Linked DNA regions of Rattus norvegicus. The protein of the gene in region 1 purifies or fractionates together with the protein of each later gene. This does not show direct contact. Links are inferred from orthologs where the notes say so. Each region holds a gene or a part of one and is shown in the gene's direction. Other genes may lie near its edges. The genes, in order: Tubg1, Cct3 and Lgals3bp.

Region 1 (6,568 bases):
CCCAGCTCCGAAAAAAAGAACAAAAAAAAAAAAAAAAAAAAAAACTGGGCAGCCTGATACTTACTGGAGGTGAAGCAGAAGAGCCAGTATGTGAGGGTTATCCTCAGCTAAACAGAGAATTAGATGCCAGCCTTGGCTACATGAAACTCTGTCTCCCAAAAAAAAAAAAAGAGAGAGAGAGAGAGAGAGAGAGAGAGAGAGAAAGAAAGTAGAGCCCTTGCTAGCATAAGCAAGGTCCTACCCGGGCTCCAGCAGTTCAAACCTGAGTGTGAACAGATCAGCTTGGTTGGGTTGTAAATTACTTGCCTGTAACCACTGTTGTAGTACCTCTCAGTGCAAAGCAAGGCAGCTATGATGCATGTAAGACTCAAGGGCAGAGGGCTGGACAGACAGCTCAGCAGTTTAGAGCACAGAGGTCCTGAGTTCAATTCCTAGCAACCACATGGTTTCTTACAACCATCTGTAATGGGATCTGATGCCCTCTTCTGAGTGGTGCTGTCTCTTGTCATATAGGCATACATATAGAGTACTCATATACATATGCGTGTGTGTGTGTGTGTGTGTGTATAAATAATCAATGGTGGGTACACTGAGGTCAAGGTCAATTCCTGTCCCACCTCACCCTCTTCCATATCTGTCCAGGGAGAAAAAATCCACGAGGACATTTTTGACATCATTGATCGGGAGGCAGATGGCAGTGACAGCCTAGAGGTGAGTGTCCCAGGAATGTCAGTGGAGGTGGACATGTAGAGACTTGGCAACACCATTTAGAAATCCCCTGCTCTGGGCCGTTGAGATGGCTGAGCAGGTGACGATGCTTGCATTCAAGCTTGACAACCCAAGTGTGGTCCGTAAGACCCATGGTAGAAAAAGAGAACTGATTCCAAAAAGTTGTGCTCTGACTCTGCACACATACAGTGGCGTGCGTGCACACACACACATACACACACACACACACACTAATTAGAACAATTTTTTAAAAGCTACCTGTTAGGTACAAGACCAACTCATTCATCGTTGCATTTCACAGAAGCCACCAAGCCTTATTAAAGAGAAGACAGTCTCCTAGGCAGTGAGGGGACTTGGGAAGACAAGAGTCCAACACAATTCAGGATGTGTCTAGTTGGAAATTAGGGCTAGAGCGATGGCTACTGTGGTTACAAGCACTAACTGCTCTTGCAAAGCACCTGGGTTTAGTTCCCGGCACCCAGCATGGTGGTTTACGATCATCTATAACTCCACTTCCAGGAGATCTGATGCCCTCTTCTTTTTCTTTTCTTTTTATCAGAGCTGGGGACCAAACCCAGGGCCTTGCGCTCGCTAGGCAAGCGCTCTACCGCTGAGCTAAATCCCCAACCCCCTGATGCCCTCTTCTAACCTCCACAGGCACCAGGCACACACATGTATGCACACATATGTGTGCATATACATACATGCAGGCAGGCACGGGAAATAAAAATAAGCTTAAACTTTTTAAACTAGATCCTGTCACCAGACAGACACCAAAATGCTTATAAGCCGCTTTTTTACACAGGGATTTGTACTGTGTCACTCCATTGCTGGGGGGACAGGCTCTGGCTTGGGCTCCTACCTCTTGGAACGGCTAAATGACAGGTAAGCCTATGTTTGTGGGGCTAGGTGAAGATGGGTCCTTTCTCTTTGTTCCCTAAGGCACTTGGGGCCCAGCAGACATAGCTCCCCATGTGCTGTAGCCTTTCCATTCGAATCCTCAGACTGGGAGGAAACTGAAGGTGCAAGGCAAAAACCCAATAGAATTTGCAGAGCTCAGAGCCCAGCATGTAGGCCCAGCTTTGAATGGCCAAGGGATGTGTCCAGGTTTGGAGCATAGGATTTTACAATGTCTCTTCCCTTGCCCTTTTTGGGGTTTTATCCTTTCAAAAACTGCAACCTCAGGGCTAGAGAGATGGCTCAGTGGTTAAGAGCACTGCCTGCTCTTCCAGAGGTCCTGAGTTCAAATCCCAGCAACCACATGGTGGCTCACAACCATCTGTAATGAGATCTGATGCCCTCTTCTGCTGTGTCTGAAGACAGCTACAGTGTACAATATACAGCTACAGTATACATAGATAAATAAATAATTCTTCAAAAAAAAAAAAAAAAACTACGACCTCCTGTTCTGCTGCTTTTGGCGCAATTCTATTTTTCCGATTCACAGAAAAATGCTCCTAGACCCACCCGTTGAGAAGGTTGATGTTCACAAAATCTCTAATGTTGCCCTCTCCTCTCAACCCCACCAGGTACCCCAAAAAACTAGTGCAGACGTACTCCGTGTTCCCCAACCAGGACGAGATGAGTGACGTGGTGGTCCAGCCCTACAACTCCCTCCTCACGTTAAAGAGGCTGACCCAGAACGCGGACTGTGTGGTGAGGCCTGGATTCTTGTTCCGGCTCCCATCCCCCTGTCTGCTCATCTTCGTTTTGAGCTCTCTTGTGCCATAAGCCTGAGAAGGTCCCTTTGGAGTGAGTGTTTCCGACCATAAGGCTCAAGGCTAGACTCAGGCCAAGCTTGCGGTGTTCTTGCCCTTATAAATCTTCAACCCTTTGCTATCTCTTCTAGGTGGTGCTGGACAACACGGCCCTGAACCTGATCGCCACAGACCGCCTGCACATCCAGAACCCATCCTTCTCCCAGATCAACCAGCTGGTGAGCCCCCACTCCTGGAATGAGAGCCCTCTGTCTGCGAGAGAGTCATCAGAGGAGGGACGCTCCACCTCCATCAAGCCCCATGACACAGTATCTCCTGCTCCCAGGTGTCCACCATCATGTCAGCCAGCACCACCACCCTGCGCTACCCCGGATACATGAACAACGACCTCATCGGCCTCATCGCCTCACTCATTCCCACCCCTCGACTACACTTCCTCATGACTGGCTATACCCCCCTCACCACGGACCAGTCAGTAAGAGCTCCCCCAGTGTCCCAGCACTGAGGCCTTTCCCTTTTCCATACTCTCCCACACAAACCCGCTCTTTGCAGCCCTTCTCTACCCACCTCCCAGGTTCTATACTCAGGGCCTGACACTGCCACCAGCTTGCAGCCCTGCCTCCGTGTTCTACTACCTTTGTTTGGCTCCTGCAGGGGTGCTGCCCAATGGGGTCTCCTGCTCATTGCTCAAGGGCATGGGATTGGTGAGCTGAGAGCCATGATCGATCAATTGATCGATCCTAATCCCATGGCAGAGACTCAGCACAGACCTGATCTAAAGACAGTCCCCAGAGGCCACACCTCCTGCCAGCTGATGGGGACAGAGTTGACCCTTCTCCTCTGTCCATGCCTCTCTGAGTTGCTCCCTGACTGCTGCCCGGGTCCCTGTGAATCCCCGTTCCCTCAGGTGGCCAGTGTGAGGAAGACAACAGTCCTGGATGTCATGAGGAGACTGCTACAGCCCAAGAACGTGATGGTGTCCACAGGTCGGGATCGTCAGACCAACCACTGCTACATCGCCATCCTCAACATCATCCAGGGAGAGGTGGACCCCACCCAGGTAAGGGAGGCCCCTTCACCCTAGCCTGGGGACCACAGGATGGAGAAGAAGCCACCACCACCTCTCTGCCCACCCAAGGTCCACAAGAGCCTGCAGAGGATCCGGGAGAGGAAGTTGGCCAACTTTATCCCCTGGGGCCCGGCCAGCATCCAGGTGGCCCTGTCAAGGAAGTCTCCCTACCTGCCCTCAGCCCACCGGGTCAGCGGGCTCATGATGGCCAACCACACCAGTATCTCCTCGGTGAGCACAGTCTCCTGTTGTCCCTGTGTTACCGGGAGTCAAACCCAGGGCTTCGGGAATGGGAGGTAGCTCTCCCCACTCTGAGCCACACCCCAGCTCCTGGTCTTTGGCCACTCTGCTCCATTCCCTATGTCCTTAGTCCCCACCCTGTCTGTCCCTAGTTCTGTGTCCTGTGCTGGGTGCCCTTCTGAAGCTCACCTCTCCAACCGTACGAGCTGCCTCTGCTCTACCCACTGTCTCCGTTCCTTCCACCTCTGCTCCTAGCATCTGACTAGAGAATAACCATACCTTGGTTCCCTGACCCTCTAGGCTGTACTGTTTCCTGATTTCTTTGTGACCACCCCCAATCTCTGTGCCCTAAGCTTTTTGAAAGGACCTGTCGCCAGTTTGACAAGCTGAGGAAACGGGAGGCCTTCATGGAGCAGTTCCGCAAGGAGGACATCTTCAAGGACAATTTTGACGAGATGGACACCTCCAGGGAGATTGTGCAGCAGCTGATTGACGAGTACCATGCGGCCACACGGCCAGACTACATCTCCTGGGGCACCCAGGAGCAATGAGTCGCCCGAGACAGGGACCCTCATCTGCCTTACCGGTTAGCCCAGGCCCTGCCTGGCTGACTACCCCTCAGAGCACAGATCAGGGACCTCATCAATCACTCGCATACACATGCACTGTCTGTTGGCTTAGGGGCGGGTTTACTTCTTTGAGAGTATTTATCTTTAATAAAGCACTGGATGTAAACCGAGTCACTGGTCTCTGAATTCACACTTGGGAACAGGGGCTGAAGGAACCTGTTTCTGTGTCACTGACGCTTCCTTTCTGCACTCCCAACGTCTTCAACTCTGGACAGCAAGCCGCCCGCCTCTAGCTTTGCCTTTGGCCTAATTGTGGAAGACACAGATGGCTCTTGACCCTGCTGGAATTCCTTCCAGAATAAAAGGAACCACAGATAAGATCTTTCTCTCCATCCAACCTCCTCTGCTCTCAGTTCCGTCACACTGGACCAGAGGAACACTCCTCCACTTGCACGTTTCCACACCGGAGTGTCCTGTTTGCAAAGACACGCCTGGGGCCACCACACTACCTACCCGGAGCCCCTAACCAGGGCAGTCAGCCTTTGTGCCTTCCAAGCGCAGGCCAGCAGACCAGTGCTGAAGAGCCAGTCCCAGCGAGCCTTGACTGGAGTCTAGGGAACATCAGGAGACCGTGTCCAGTGCCTACACAAGCAGAGTCAAAACTGGTTCCATTTCTGTTCTCAACTGGTCTTCATTTATGTAAAGTTTTTATTACCTTTCAGTCCTTTTGGATGTAATTATGAGTATGTATAAGCCTTGGGGTAAGTGTGGAAGTCAGAAAATAACTTGGGAGAAATTTCTCATCCACCGTGTGCGTCCAGGGTACAGAACTTAGGTCGTCAGACTCAAGGGCAAGCCACTCTGCCTGCCAAGCCATCTCACCACCCCATTTTTTTTGTAAATTTATTTTTGATATATGGGTGTTTTATCTACATGTTTGTGTGTACCATGTACATGTAGTACCGGCAGAAGCCAGAAGAGGGTGCCAGATCCCCTGGAACTAGACTAGTTGTGGATGGTGAGTCTTGGTGCTGAGAACAGAACTCAAGCCATCTGGAAGAGTGCCCAGTGTGTTTAACCTCTGAGCTCTCACCCCAGTATCCTCCATTTTTACAAATTCCACTTATTTAAAAGGCCAGTGGGAGGAAGATCACAGACAAACAGTGATTTTGTGGCTCTTAAACCCTTAGAGTCCTGGGTGGCGGTGGGTGGTGCATGCCTTCGAACCCAGCACTTAGGAGGGAGAGTTAGGCGGACTTGGAAGCCAGTCTGGTCTACAGAGTGAGTTCCAGGACCGTCAGGGCTACCCAGAGAAACACAGCCACTAAATAAATAAATTTAAAATAAAAAACAATAAAACAACAAAACCGAAAAGACCAAACCAAAACAAAATCCTTGGGCTCCAAGCCTGGCTCTAAGGGCACACAACTTTCATCCTGGCATTCTGCAGGCAGGTAGATCTCCAAGTTCAAGGCCGTCCTGCTCTAGAGATGGAGTTCCAGGACATCCAGGGCTACACAGAGAAACCCTATCTCGAAAGACAACCGAAAAACCTACTTACCCCCCCAAATCCTTGGGATGCAAAGGGCAGATTCCCCCTAGATTATAGAGGACTGCAAAGGCCTCACTAAACTCTTGCCTGCCCCACAGGGAAGAACTACAATGACTGATGGACGTCATGCATCATGTACGTTGGTTTGTTTAAAACCTATGAAGGGGTGGATGTCATTACCTATCTCGTTTTTAAAAGGAGCAAACAGGAGTAGATCACAGACACTGTTAAGTGGCCTGAAGTGGCAGAGTTGGAACAAACTATGCTGTGCCTGGCGCCTGTGTTTGTTTTAAGGTAAAAGCCAAACAAGCCATGTTTTTAGATGTATTTATTTTATTTCCACATGTGTGTATGCATACAATGTGTATGCCTGGCTGCCTACAGACGTCAAAAGAAGGCGGCATTGGATCCTGAGTTCCTAATGGTTACAAGCCACTTGTGTGGATGCTAGGAACTAAGCCCAGATCCTCTGCAAAAGCAAGTGTTTTTAGGCACTAAGCCCCTCTTCCCTTTTTTGAGATTACATCATACTATGTAGCCCAGGCTTACCTAAGACTCGCCATGCTCCTCCTGCTTCCACCCCTGCCCCTCTGCCCCTGCCCCTCTGCCCCTGCCCCTCTGCCCCTGCCCCTGCCTTGTACTAGGACTAGATTATGTGCGTCCATTGTTGGCACACAGCACATTTGTGTGG
Region 2 (6,568 bases), on another chromosome or scaffold:
TGAGGCCATACTGGTCTATATAACAACTATTTAAAAAAAAAAAAAGAAAGAAAGAAAGAAAGAAAAGGAAAAAGAAAAGCTATCCATTTTTTTCCAGCTCCCTTAGCAGTAGGCCATACCTATAATCCTTGGGCTGTGGATGCTCTGGCAAGAGGGCTGTCTCAAGTTTGAGGCTAGTGAGTCCCATGGCCAGCAAAGTTAAACCTGTCTCCTTTACCCAAAGAAATCCCACAACTGCTTTCCAAGTAACCAAGTGGTGGGCAAAGCCAGCCATTTCTGCAAACACTGAGTGAATCAGGAAGGCTGGCTTCTGAGGAAGGGGACGCAGGGGTCGTGACACACCTTCTTCCTTAGTAGGATTACTGGTGTGCTGCTCCATCTCAACAGCAACAGGTGTGGTGCCTGAGGAAGAATAACAGGGTCACAGGGTCACACGACAGGGCTTTGTTTCCTGAGCACTCCCCCGAAGATCCGAACCGGCCAGAGCTGCTCTAATGTTGGGAGGCAGAAGTGTAACAGTGTATACCATCTCATAGAGGTGTCTGTTTTTAAATTTAATTCTTTTGATTTTTAATTATGTGTATATGTTCACGTATGAGGAGATCTCCCTCGAGTTAGAGGTGGCTGTGAGCAGCTGGACATCAGTTCAGGGGACTGAGCTGAGGTTCTCTGCAAGAGCAATATATCCTCTTAACCCACTGAGCCTTTCCTCCTGGCTGCTCACTGATGGGGGGCGGGGAAAGGGGACGACTGAAGGGGTTGAAATCGCTATCCTCTTGACTTAGCCTCTGGAGTTCATTACAGGAGTGTGCTACCACACCAGGCAAACAACTACTCTGAAATAGTCCATTTTTCTCCAATTCCCTTCGGCAGAGTTATTTGTTAGTGCCTTTTCACTGAAGACAAAACAAACCAAATACGAACTTTAAATCTACCACAAACATGTCATGACCCTTCAAGTCTTCTAAATGTTTAATTACTAGCCTTGTTTTTTGTTTTTTCCTATATGGAGTGATCTGGCAAGAGGGCTGTCTCCAGTTTGCGACCCGCCTGGGCTACACGAGTCTTGGGCCAGCCTTGGAACTCTAGTAAGATAATATGGTAATTTAAAAAACTACAGCTCCCTTTCCTTGGTCACTAACCAGTGATCAGGCTATGCAGTGGGGGGAAAAGGCTCAAAATTCTACAAGAAACACGACTTAGGATATTCGGGGTAAATGTAAGAGCTTCTCCTTTACGTCTTATTGCCTTAAGATTCAAAGTAATTTTTCTAAGACGTAAAACATTAGGACAGGAGAGATAGCTCAACAGTTAAGAGCACTAGATGGTCCCACAGAGGCCATGGGTTCACTTCCTAGCACCCACGTGGTCCCACGAGGTGGTTCACAATCATCAATTCCAGTTCCAGAGGATCAGACTCCCTCCTGATCTCCTCTCGCAAGTGGTGCACCTACATACGCATAGGCAAACCCACCATACACATAAAAATAAAAAAAAAAATAGGTACATCTAAAACACCAAGATTTTTCTTTTCTTTTCTTTTAAAGAAAAGCAGCGCGTCTAGAATAAACCACAACTCCCAGCATGCTCCGGGGTGGGGTGGGGGAGCCGTTGCGGCCCCGCCTCATAGGAAAACCTCCACTTCTACACCGCCTCAATATTTCTGGCAACTACCGGTATTTCCGGCTCCTGTGCTCCTCCCTACTGCTAAAGCTGGAATAAAAAGTGGCGAACTATTATGCCTTTCTTGGCCTTCACGGTCGGACGAGAACCGATGGACAAAATAGAGCTTCATGATCTCACCTACAGCATTAATCCAAAGCCTCAACCCCAGCACCCACCCTCTAGCGGGCACTCAAGCGCTGTAGCGAGCCAGCTAACCGCCCGTGCCTTGGCGCTTGCGCAGACATTCTGCCCGCACGCGGCCGGGAGCGGCCACGCTAGTGCGCAAGCGCTTGCGTCCCCCCACCCATCATGCTCTCTCTAGCTAGCTTGCCGTGCCTTTCTTGCGTAGAGGGCGGGGCTAATACCTACGATTGGCCTATGTTTATGCCAATCAATGAAATGGGCTTAGTGATTGGCGGTACTTCAGAGGTTAGCATGTTTCTGTGTCAGTCCTGAGGAGGCAGCGTTTCCTTCGCTGCTCTTCTCTCCAGAAGGTTCTGCCGATTTCCCCCAGCTCTGGAAAGTCGGCTCTTCGTCGTGCCGCCATGATGGGCCACCGTCCAGTGCTCGTGCTCAGTGAGTTCAGGGAAGCGATGGCTCCCTCCGCCCCTCTCTCCCCATGCTTGCCAGTGTTTCCCGGCCCCGTCCCGCCATGACTCGGCCCTCGTGCTTTCCAGTCGTCTTTTCGCCTTAGAACCTCCTTCCTTAGTTTTTCTCCTCCTGCCTTCTCCTGTCGCCCTCTTTTGACAAAATGACTTTCTGCTCTCGGAGTCGCTAGTTTTTAACGTGTGCTTTATCCCATTTGTGTTCCGTTCTTTAGTCGCCACCCTCCACGCCCCCGTGTCCTTTACAGCATGATTTCCGTCTGGTAGTTAGTAATAGTGGTTCTTAACGTTAGGCCTTGCTTCGTATCCTCGGTCCATCCCTTAGGAGAGGCGTGACTTACGGCAACTCGCTTGATTTATGCTTTAATAACAGTGTTTAGGAGACCGTAGTACTTCTCCAAAGAATTATGAGTTAAGTTGGTAAGTAAAGCTTCCTTTACCGGCAGATCGGAAATGGCATCTTTTCAGTAGCGGTCATTCAGCAACCCTTGTTCTGAAATGACATTCCTTGCGTTCCCGATCTTGAATGTGATCTTTCCCACCAGCCAGTTAAGTTCTCCCAGATTCCTCTCCTGTTTTCTTTAACTAACGCCTCTCATCTCAGTAAAGAGCACCAGTTCCTTGTCAGTTACCCGAGCTATTGAGAATAATTCAGTAAACCGGGTTCAAAGTTAAGACATACTAAAGAGAAAAACATGTAGTATGGCCACACTGAGAGGAGAGACAAAGGGGTTCAGTGACACTACCCCTCCTACCAACACTTAGATGAACGAATCTATGGGGTTTTAATTAGCAGACCAGAGGCATAAGGAGTCATCGTTTTCTGCTCTAGTCTCCTGAGAAAGTTTACCTACAGGCTGGCTCTCCAGGCATCAACATCCCCTGGAACTGGAGTTATGGGCTGTTGTGACCACCATGGGGGGCTGGGAATTGAAGCTGAACCATCTTTCCAGCCTCACAAGCACACTTTCTTGGTCACTAATCTTTGAGACTCTGTAGCTCCTAATCCCACGGAGGTTGTAAGGGATGTGCACTCTGGGAAAAATCACCATCCTGCTGAGCCCCATTCAGGGACCTAAAGATATGAATCGCTGGAAGTGTGTGAGCATGCATACAAGGAAAGTATTGGTCAAGATTCTGAAGTTAAAGCATTTCAGGTTATCTCTTAATGTACTGGGGCTTCTCTTCATTCTGTGTGTCTTTTGCCTGCATGTATGTCAGTGTCTGCAGACACCAGAAGAGGACATCAGATCCCCTGGAAGTGTAGTTATAGATGGTTGTGAGCTTCCATGTTGATGCTGAAATAGAACCAGAGTTCTCTGCAAGAGCTTCCAATGCTTTTAACTACAGGGCCATCTCTCCAGCCCCTAAAGGTGCTTTTTGAGACAGGATCTCACTTTGTAACTCTGACTGGCCTGGAACTTTATAGACCGAGTTGAGTTGGTTCAGAAATTCATCTGCATCTCCAGTGCTCAGATTAAAGGCATATGCTACCATGCCCAGTCTTAAACCATTGTAATTGTAACTGCTGGTTATACACTGAAACCTTTGTATTTTTGTTTTCAAAACTTGATAAATAAGGTTGGTGGTAGGATCCCTAAGCAGGTTTAAAAAGAAAAAAAGCACCAAGCCTAATAATAACTGGAGGTCTTTTTATTATGGTTTGTTTGTTTCGTTTGAGACAGGTTCTCTATGTAAACCAGGCTGGCTTCCAAGTCACAGAGATCCTCCTGACTCTGCCTTATAAGTGCTGGGGTCAGAGACATGCGCCACCATACCTGACTTAGATGACCAAGTTTAATCCCTGGCACTTATATGATAGAAAGAGAATTTAGTCCTGAAAGTTGTCTTCTGACCTCCAAAGTTGTGCTACGCATTGTACACTTGATATGTACATATATACATTAAAAAATGTAAACATTTTCTTTAAGTTAGGAAATAAAATGATTGTGTACACTGGGCTATTGACACGTGTTTTTGTCTGTTTTAGGTCAGAATACAAAGCGTGAGTCTGGAAGAAAAGTTCAATCTGGAAATATCAATGCTGCAAAGGTAACACATGTTTTAAGTGATAATAGCAGTTCATTCTGGATGACTCCCTAATATTTCAAATATTACAAATCTTCATTATTTGTAATAGCAAACTTCCTATGGTTCTGTACAGTTGAACAGAGGAAAACGCATGTTTCCCTGACAGTGATACAGGAAGGGAGGTTTTTAAAGATTTACTTATTTATTCATTGTTTGAGTGTTTTGCCTCCAAGTATGTGTACGTGTACCATGTGCATGCCTGATGCACAAGAAGCCTAGAAGAGGTTGTCAGATCCCCCTGGAACTGGAGTTCCAGGCTGTTATGAAAGTTACTATGTGAGTGGTAGGACTTCTGAAAGAGCCTAGGTCCTCTGAAAGAACCCTGTCCCCTCTTTGGAGACAGGATCTTGTCGGGGTTGCCTAGAATTTTCTATGCACGCCAGACTATCTTTGGACTCAGATCTGCTTGCCTTTGTCTCCCAAATCCTGGAACTAAAATCATGTGCCAGCACACTTTCAAACTCATAAATATATTTTTAAGTGAATGATTGAAAGACTTGATTTCATGTGGCTTAGAGACCACTGTCAGTAAAAATATTAAGGCTGGACTCTTAGGACACTAAAACGGAAGACTTTTTTTTTTTTTTTAAGATTTATTTATTTATTTATTTATATGTAAGTACACTGTAGCTGTCTTCAGACACACCAGAAGAAGGCATCAGATCTCATTATTGATGGTTGTGAGCCACCATGTGGTTGCTGGGAATTGAACTCAGGACCTCTGAAAGCAGTCAGTGCTCTTAACCACTGAGCCATCTCTCCAGCCCCTGAAGACTCTTTTTGAAAGTTCATTTATCATGTCTAAAATAGTTAGCATTCTTGTTAAACACTGACTCTGGCTGGAAAGATGGCTTTTTTTTTTTTTTAACAATTTCTAATTTACTTTATGTATGAGTACACACAATTGTTATCTTCAGACACACCAGAAGAGGGCATCAAATCCCATTACAGATGCTTGTGAGCCACCATGTGGTTGCTGGGAATTGAACTCAGGACCTCTGGTAGAGCAGTCAATACTCTTAATTGTTGAGCTATCTCTCAGCCCCAAGCACTTGCTACTCTTGCAGAAGACATAGATTTGATTCTCTAAACCCAGGTGGTAGCTCACAACTTCCTGTAACTCCAGTTCTAGGGCATCCAACGTGCTCTTCAGGCATCCATCTGGAGCACAAACATGTATTTGAGCAAAAGACTCGTACCTGTAAAAAATAAATCTTCAAAACACTGGCTATGCACTGGGCATGGTGGAGCACGCCTTTAATCCTTTCATTGAGAATCAGAAACAGGGCTGTCTCTTACGTTCAAAGCCAGTCAGAGCTACCTAGTAAAACCCTGTTTAAAACAAAGTAATGGTTCTGTTTGTGGTTCTTCGAAACACATTATTCTCTGACTATGCTTCTTGTTTTGTATTTCCTTACCAACAGACAATTGCAGACATCATCCGGACCTGTTTGGGACCTAAATCTATGATGAAGGTTGGACTACCTTTTATTGGAACTCAAACTCCATGTCCTCTTTTTTTGTTATCTATAACACTTTTGCTTTTTCTTAGATGCTTTTGGATCCAATGGGAGGCATCGTGATGACCAATGATGGTAATGCCATTCTTCGAGAGGTATGTTTGATTTTGGTTTTGTTGTTGTGTTGTGTTGTTTTGTTTTTGTTTTTTTTTTTTTCTTTAAACCTCCTTTTCTAACAATTTTGAATACCAAGAACCTATTCAGATACATGTAGATAACCTTGGCATAGTGTTATATGCCTCTAATCCCAACACTTTGGGACCAGAGGTAGAAGTAAGATCATGAGTTCATCCTGCACTAAATAAAATAACCCTGTCTAAAATCCAAGTTTATCAAGGCATGATGGCAGTGTGCCTCTAATCTCAGCATTTTGGGGTAAAGGTCAGAGGAGTAGGGATTTGAGATTAATCTTGCGGGTTCAAGGCCTCTGAGTACTGTGATTACAGGTTTGGAACATTTTTCCTAGCTAGTCTGCCTGCTATGGCTGGCTTAAAGATAGAAACTCCAGGGGCTGGGGATTTAGCTCAGTGGTAGAGCGCTTACCTAGGAAGCACAAGGCCCTGGGTTCGGTTCCCAGCTCCGAAAAAAAGAACCAAAAAAAAAAAAAAAAAAAAAAGATAGAAACTCCAGGTGTGCTGCATGCCTGCTATCTCAGCATTAAGGCAGAAGAGTTGAGATTGGAGAACA
Region 3 (6,568 bases), about 18 Mb from region 1:
GAAGGGGAATGGGTGTAAGCCAGGCAGAGCCTGTGGTGGTCTGAACCCTAAAGGGTCCCTGGGGCCATTGGGAGGGAGATCGCATTATCGAGTCAGGTGTGTATGGAACCCCAGTGTATCCACTCACAAGTTACTATCTGGGTTTAGAGGACCTCGGGGCCTCCCTCCCTGGTGTCATACCTGGGACAAAGAGCTCAAAGCACAGGATAAAAGGATTTGCCAGACCAGAATTGATGTAGAAGTTTTAATAAAGGACACTTGGGAGGTGGTGCTGGAGAGATGGCTCAACTGATAAGGAATACTCCTTGCACAGAAGCCAGGTATAATTCCCAGCACCCACATGGCGGCTCACAACCGTCTGTAACTCCAACTCCAGGAAACCTGATACCCTGGCCACCATACGCACAGGTGTATGGCACACATGTACATGGTGTGTTTGCCTGCAGGCAAAATGCTCACACACATAAAATAAATGAATCCTTAAAAAAAAAAAAAGTAGACACCAAGGACAGAAACACAGCAGGTAAATTCCTGAACCATACATCAGAAAGGAACAGGGTGATTTTATACCAATTTGAAGTCACCTGACTTTGCCTCCTGGGTCATTTGTGTCGGACGTTTTGAATAGCATTCAAGAGTTGAGTGTCTTGAGGTAGTAAACCTTATGGGGCTGGCAGCTGGGGGAGCCACAGGGAGCTGTTGGGATTTAGGTCACTGTATAAACCTATCATAAGGTTAATTTTAATGTATTTTATATATTTGGAAGTTTTGTCTGCATGGATGTGTGTGCACCACATATGTGCCTGGTGACCATGGAGATCAGGAGAGGGCGTTGTATCCCTTAGAACTGGAGTTATGGTGATTGTGTGCAACCATGTGGGAGTTCCTAAGGGAACCTGGGTTCTTTGCAAGAAGAACAAGTGTTCCTAACCACTGAGCAACCTCCCAGTCCTCTTTGAATTTTATATAATTTTTCACATTTATTTACTGTGTGTGTCCACGTGCATGCACATACAGGCTATGGTAGACATACAGAGATCAGAAGACAGCTTACAGGAGTCAGTTTTCTCCTGCAGTGAGTTCCAGGGATCAAACTCACAGTGTCAAGATTGGCTGGCTGCAGGTTACCATCTCTGTTGTTGTTAGTTTTGTTGTTGTTGTTGTTGTTTTGGGTTTTTTGTTTGTTTGTTTTTCTCCTTTTCTTCCTTCGAGGCAGGCTTTCTTTGCGTAGCTCTGACTAACCTAGAACTTACAACGCAAACCAGACTAGTTTCTAACTATCAAAGATCCACCTACCTCTGCCTCCCAGTTGAAGGTGTTTGCCACCACAGGTATTAAAGAAACCTCTTAAGATTTAAATTTTAAACGTATGTGCACTGCGTGTGTGCATGCATGAGCACACTTGGGTGTATGTGTGTGCCTACAAAGTCTGATCCCATGGAGTTCACTTAAAGCCTGTTCCAAGCCAACCAACATGGGTGCCAGGAATTGAACTCAGATCCCCCGAGAGAGTAGGCAATGCTCTTAACCAGCAAGCCACCCCTAGCTCCTAGCCCTGCTTCCTGTTTTCTATCTCGATTCCCATCCCTCAGGACCACTCTGTGGCCCACATACCTTCCCTCCGAGCATGCTCTGAGCACGGAAGGTTTGTGCAGTGAGCACAGCCAGCCTCCCCAGATCCAGGAAAGGATTGTGCAGCCCACATCCATGTTCACAGACACTGTGTGACCTGAGCCTCTGCTCCCCGGCCCATTTGCAGCATCTTCTCACCATCCACCGGGGTGCCTGCCTGGCCAGCCTGGACAAGTTGCCCCCCACTGTGCTTACCAGGCCAGCAAGGGGATATATCTGTTCCATCCCCTTCCAAGCTGCCCTCCCAGGGTGCCTGCCTGGCCAGCCTGGACATGTATCTGTTCAGCCGCAACATTGTTGTTTTATCAGCTCAGCACAGGGCACTTGGGTGCTTGCCATCCTCCCTGCAGAGCAGCAAGCAGAGGGCTATTAGCCTTGTCTGCAGCCAACCCCAGAGGCAGCCTCCGTCATGTGTTTTCTGGAAATCGAAACTAGACTAGGTTTATAAAGCATTTCCGGGGAAGAGGCTGAGGAAAACCACATGGTGGGGCCTTTCTCAGCTGAACAGTCTACAGAAAGCTTCGAGCTGCAGCCAGCAAGGAGGCTCCAGGACCATCTGCAGCAGCTGCCTGGACAGGTGACTGACTACCTGTCTCTTGCTCCCAGGTGAGTCCCCGCTCTACACAGCATAATTTCTGGGGGGGGGGGTCGCAGAACACAGGAACACCTAGACCTGCAGAGCCTCTAAACAGTTAGGCAGGATGTTCACTGAAAGAACAACTGAAGGGGTGAGTGGGGTACAGTTCATCCCTCGGCCTTCTCCTGGGTCTGTGGATTCTCACCCAGGACTAAACAGACCTACACAGTGGTACTGAATGAGCCAGCATAGGCAGGCACATCCCAAGTTCCCACACAAAGGAGTCAGGCAGAAACAGCCCCTGTCATCCAGTGGACAAAAATGTCCACATACCCTGCAATGTTCCCAAGGCCTAAAGTTCCTGACCCAGCATGGACAAACCCTATAACCACAGCTTATAGTAAATGGAGGGGGTGGGCACCCAGGGCACTTTGCCTGGGACTCAGGTTTCCCGGAACCCAGACCTCCTTGGGATAAGACTGGGTGCACAGCACTAAGGATCAAGCTTCCCACCCATCATCGAGTTATAGAGTTCAGCGGTCAGAGCCTATAGTGAGAATGCTCCCCTGGTAGCCAGACTCCGCCAGCCACACTGAGAAGAGTCCAGTGGCCTTCCCCCATTAACATCCCAGAGTCTATAGGGGATATTAACATGAGGTTTACATAGAGGAATGTATAGCTAACTGGTCTGCCCTATGCCTGGGCTGTAAATCCCAGACTGGGCTGATATTTCCTGGAGACAAGCTTCCCCTCCGGCTGTCACCAGGCAACAGCTTTCTCCTTTCAGCATGAGACTCCCAGGGGGAATTCCAGTTCTGTCCTTGCTTCAGTAGTACGATAACCGAAGGGAAGGGCACGAGTTTGTCTTAGACTATCTTCACCCTTGCCAAGATGGCTACAAGAGCCCTGGATCACTGAGGTCTTGCTCGTGCTGCTCTGGTACAGAATGTCTGGGGTGGAGGACAATCCTGGTGTTTCTACTGATCCTGGGATAACCTCTACTGCTGGTCTCTGGGCCCCTGGTCTGAGTAACAAAACAGTTTGAGATTCGTTGCTGAGTTCCTGCCCAGGAGACAGAGCTCTACAGCACCGTCCACTACCAGCCCCGACCTCACTGCCCTCGGGACTAGAATGAGTCTACCAGGGCTGCTGCACTTTGCTCTCTAGGTCAGCCCCCTTCATGCAGGGCCCGAGAGAAAGTGCCTGGGTGGGGCCCATTCTACAGACAGGCGAGAGAGTCTTAGTATTGAGTCCCTGTGTGTCAGCACCTTGGCAGTTGACCCTGACCCATCTCCCACTCATCCCCAGATCACGCCATGACCTCTGCAACTGTCTCTGTCACTTCCTCCTGAGAGTTCCCTGCTCCAACCTCATCCACAACACCCTCCCAGACTGGCATATCTTGTCCCTTTGGGGCACACCCCGAAGGGGGCTGCTGCCTGAAGATAAGACCAACCGTTGAGGGATAGCCTCTTGTCTATTTCCTGGGTTCTCGTTGCCAGGAGCCCTCAACCCACCTGCCTCATCTGGGGAGACTTACTGTCCTGAAGGTTGTCCCATAGAGCATGTGAGAGAGAGGCCTGCATAAGGGTCATCTCATGGCCATCTGGGCCTTACGGAAGAGGGACCACCCACAACACCATCCTGTCCTCCACAAACTTGACAGGGGACCATGGAACTACCAGTCTCCTCCGGAGAGCTGTGGCCAGTCTAACTTTGTTGTTCCTTCTGCTGCAGGTTGGGCTTCCAGGTCAGGCAATGGCTCTTCTGTGGCTCCTCTCTGTGTTCTTGCTGGTTCCAGGGACTCAAGGTGAGTCCTGCTCAGCGAAAGGTCCAAAACAGAAGTCAAGACCGTGCGCCTTGGTGCCTTGTTCTGTGTGGGTCACACACACACCCCCTCCCCATCTTTGCAGAAAAGCCAGGTGGCATCCTGTAAGACACCATGTCTTAGGATTCTCTGCCATGTGGATCCTCAGTCATTCTGAATGGTGGCCCTGTATGGGCCCTGCCCCCTCCCCGAAATGCAGGTGTTGGAGAAGAGACCAAGGAATCTTTTTTCACCTCATCAGTGGGCCAAGGAGGGAGAGTGCAGCCTGTGTTGTCCTGGAGTTTGAGCTCTCAGGTCACAGGCTAGAATGCCAGAGAGTCCCTGTGGAACAGTTTACAAACTGCACCATGGGTCTGAAAGCCTTGCCCATCCTGGACCCTCAGCTGAGTATCTCGCTCTAGCATGGGTGACCCCAATTCAAGCACCCAGCCGGCATGGACAGAGACGGGAGTCCCAGAGAGCAGGGAGCAGGACTCCCTTGGCTACCTGTGCCTGAGGGCAGACTGTCTCTAGTCCAGTGTTGTCCCCTCTAGGCAGACACTGTAGGGATGAGGTAGCAACTGTATGTGCGAGTTGGGATATCAGCGCTGTGCACCCCGCTCCTCTCTTACAATGGGACCCCACACCACAGCTCCCTCGTCCCCACACTTTGGAGGGAGCAGGCAGCATGGCAATGTCCTGTTGCTGAGTGGGGACAGTCCAGAGGCCATGAGACAGGTGGCACTGGGGTGTCAAGACATCACCCATCGTAAGCCGAGGTTAATCTGCTCTCTGCCTGTGTCTAGGAACCCAGGACCCACCTTCCCCTTCATACCAGCGTTTCAGAGAGCCAGGAAAGAGCCTCTCCCCCCCCCCCCAAGTTCACTCAGTAGGCTGAGAGCCAAGGTGTCCTCTTGGAGAAAAAGACCCAGAGATGAGAGCTAGATAGACCATGGCCTCTGTGGGCTCATCAGAGTTTTCACTCTTCTTCAGTGGGTAACTTTTTTTTTTTTTTTTTGGTTCTTTTTTTTCGGAGCTGGGGACCGAACCCAGGGCCTTATGCTTCCTAGGCAAGCGCTCTACCACTGAGCTAAATCCCCAACCCCCCCCCTTTTTTTTTTTAAAGATTTATTTCTTTATTTACTATATATAAGTACTCTGTAGCTGTCTTCAGACACACCAGCAGAGGGCATCAGATTCCATTACAGATGGTTGTGAGCCACCATGTGGTTGCTGGGGATTGAACTCAGGACCTCTGGAAGAGCAGTCAGTGCTCTTAACCTCTGAGCCATCTCTCCAGCCCCCCCCCTTTTTTTTTAAAGATTTTTTTTATTTGTTTTTATGTATGTGAGTACACTGTAGCTGTCTTCAGACACACCAGAAGAAGGTTTCTGATCCCATTACAAATGGTTGTGAGCCACCATGTGGTTGCTGGAAACTGAACTCAGGACCTCTGGAAGAGCAGTCGGAGCTCTTAACCACTGAGCCATCTCTCCAGCCCTTCAGTGGGTAACCTTACACACACACACACACACACACACACACACACACGAATGCACGTGCGGGGAGGGCCCCTTGAAGTGGTTCAAGGCATCTCCAGAAGGCCACTCCACCCTGTTTGGGGTGACCTTTGCTCAACGAGAGAGCACACAGAGCATTGAGTACACGGGGAGTGGGCATCAGACCAGGCTAGCCCTCCTCCCAGCTAATCTCCACTCTCCTGACAGGTGCAAAGGATGGAGACATGCGCCTGGTTAATGGGGCCTCAGCCAGTGAGGGCCGCGTGGAGATCTTCTACAGAGGCCGGTGGGGGACAGTGTGCGACAACCTCTGGAACCTTTTGGATGCCCACGTCGTCTGCCGGGCCCTGGGCTATGAGAATGCTACTCAAGCACTGAGCAGAGCCGCCTTCGGGCCAGGTGTGGCTGAGGTCCCTGAGTAGTGCTCCTCAGGCATCCCCTCCCGCGCCCCAGTGAGCAGCCCCAGTCCCCGCCAAAGGTCCGGTTCCTACTCCAAGCGGCTCCTGGCTTTCCTTTTGTGCCCACAGGAAAGGGACCAATCATGCTGGATGAGGTGGAATGCACAGGGAACGAGTCGTCACTGGCCAATTGCAGCTCCCTGGGCTGGATGGTGAGCCACTGCGGGCATGAGAAGGACGCGGGCGTGGTCTGCTCCAACGGTGAGCTGCCCTGCCCCCCACCCCCGTGTAAACAAAGTTGCAAGTGGCACTGTGGTTGTGGCTGGGAGCACGCGTCCTCCAAGAGAGCCCCCCGTGTTACTTTAACGCCAGAGAAGCTTCTCTAGCAGGGCTAGATTACGGGCAAGGGACTGTATTCCAAGTACAAATGGCACTGTGCTGGAGGGTTGGCTCTCTAAGGGCCGGTGTCTTACGGCTACTACTTGCTCTGACACATTGCACAGCACCCCTCCGCACAGGTTGTGTGTGATGGCGCTGAAGTGATTCTCGGTGGCTATGTTCAAGGACACTAACCGACTCCATCAAAAGTCTTCATCTCCAGTGCCTGAGGCCCAGTGGGAGTGTTGCTTCCTGG

The links.
Region 2: the proteins of Tubg1 (region 1) and Cct3 purify together in Homo sapiens (affinity purification with mass spectrometry; 3 studies listed by BioGRID and IntAct, with this or other methods). This does not show direct contact. The link is inferred for Rattus norvegicus from reciprocal best matches to the Homo sapiens genes TUBG1 and CCT3.
Region 3: the proteins of Tubg1 (region 1) and Lgals3bp purify together in Homo sapiens (affinity purification with mass spectrometry; 3 studies listed by BioGRID and IntAct, counting the BioPlex papers as one, with this or other methods). This does not show direct contact. The link is inferred for Rattus norvegicus from reciprocal best matches to the Homo sapiens genes TUBG1 and LGALS3BP.

What each region holds. Positions count from the first base shown.
Region 1 is NC_086028.1:86,555,238-86,561,805, forward strand, and holds the end of Tubg1 (tubulin gamma-1 chain), read left to right. Parts: intron 1-642; coding exon 643-711; intron 712-1,534; coding exon 1,535-1,614; intron 1,615-2,258; coding exon 2,259-2,385; intron 2,386-2,578; coding exon 2,579-2,665; intron 2,666-2,772; coding exon 2,773-2,922; intron 2,923-3,354; coding exon 3,355-3,507; intron 3,508-3,585; coding exon 3,586-3,747; intron 3,748-4,109; coding exon 4,110-4,307; 3' UTR 4,308-4,496; downstream 4,497-6,568. UniProt on the Homo sapiens protein: Tubulin is the major constituent of microtubules, protein filaments consisting of alpha- and beta-tubulin heterodimers. Gamma-tubulin is a key component of the gamma-tubulin ring complex (gTuRC) which mediates microtubule nucleation.
Region 2 is NC_086020.1:176,061,429-176,067,996, forward strand, and holds the start of Cct3 (T-complex protein 1 subunit gamma), read left to right. Parts: upstream 1-2,100; 5' UTR 2,101-2,210; coding exon 2,211-2,241; intron 2,242-4,260; coding exon 4,261-4,322; intron 4,323-5,785; coding exon 5,786-5,836; intron 5,837-5,913; coding exon 5,914-5,976; intron 5,977-6,568. Other genes in the region: Tsacc (TSSK6-activating co-chaperone protein), read right to left, coding at 343-379. UniProt on the Homo sapiens protein: Component of the chaperonin-containing T-complex (TRiC), a molecular chaperone complex that assists the folding of actin, tubulin and other proteins upon ATP hydrolysis.
Region 3 is NC_086028.1:104,123,384-104,129,951, reverse strand, and holds the start of Lgals3bp (galectin-3-binding protein precursor), read left to right. Parts: upstream 1-2,103; 5' UTR 2,104-2,238; intron 2,239-3,946; 5' UTR 3,947-3,967; coding exon 3,968-4,019; intron 4,020-5,743; coding exon 5,744-5,935; intron 5,936-6,063; coding exon 6,064-6,195; intron 6,196-6,568.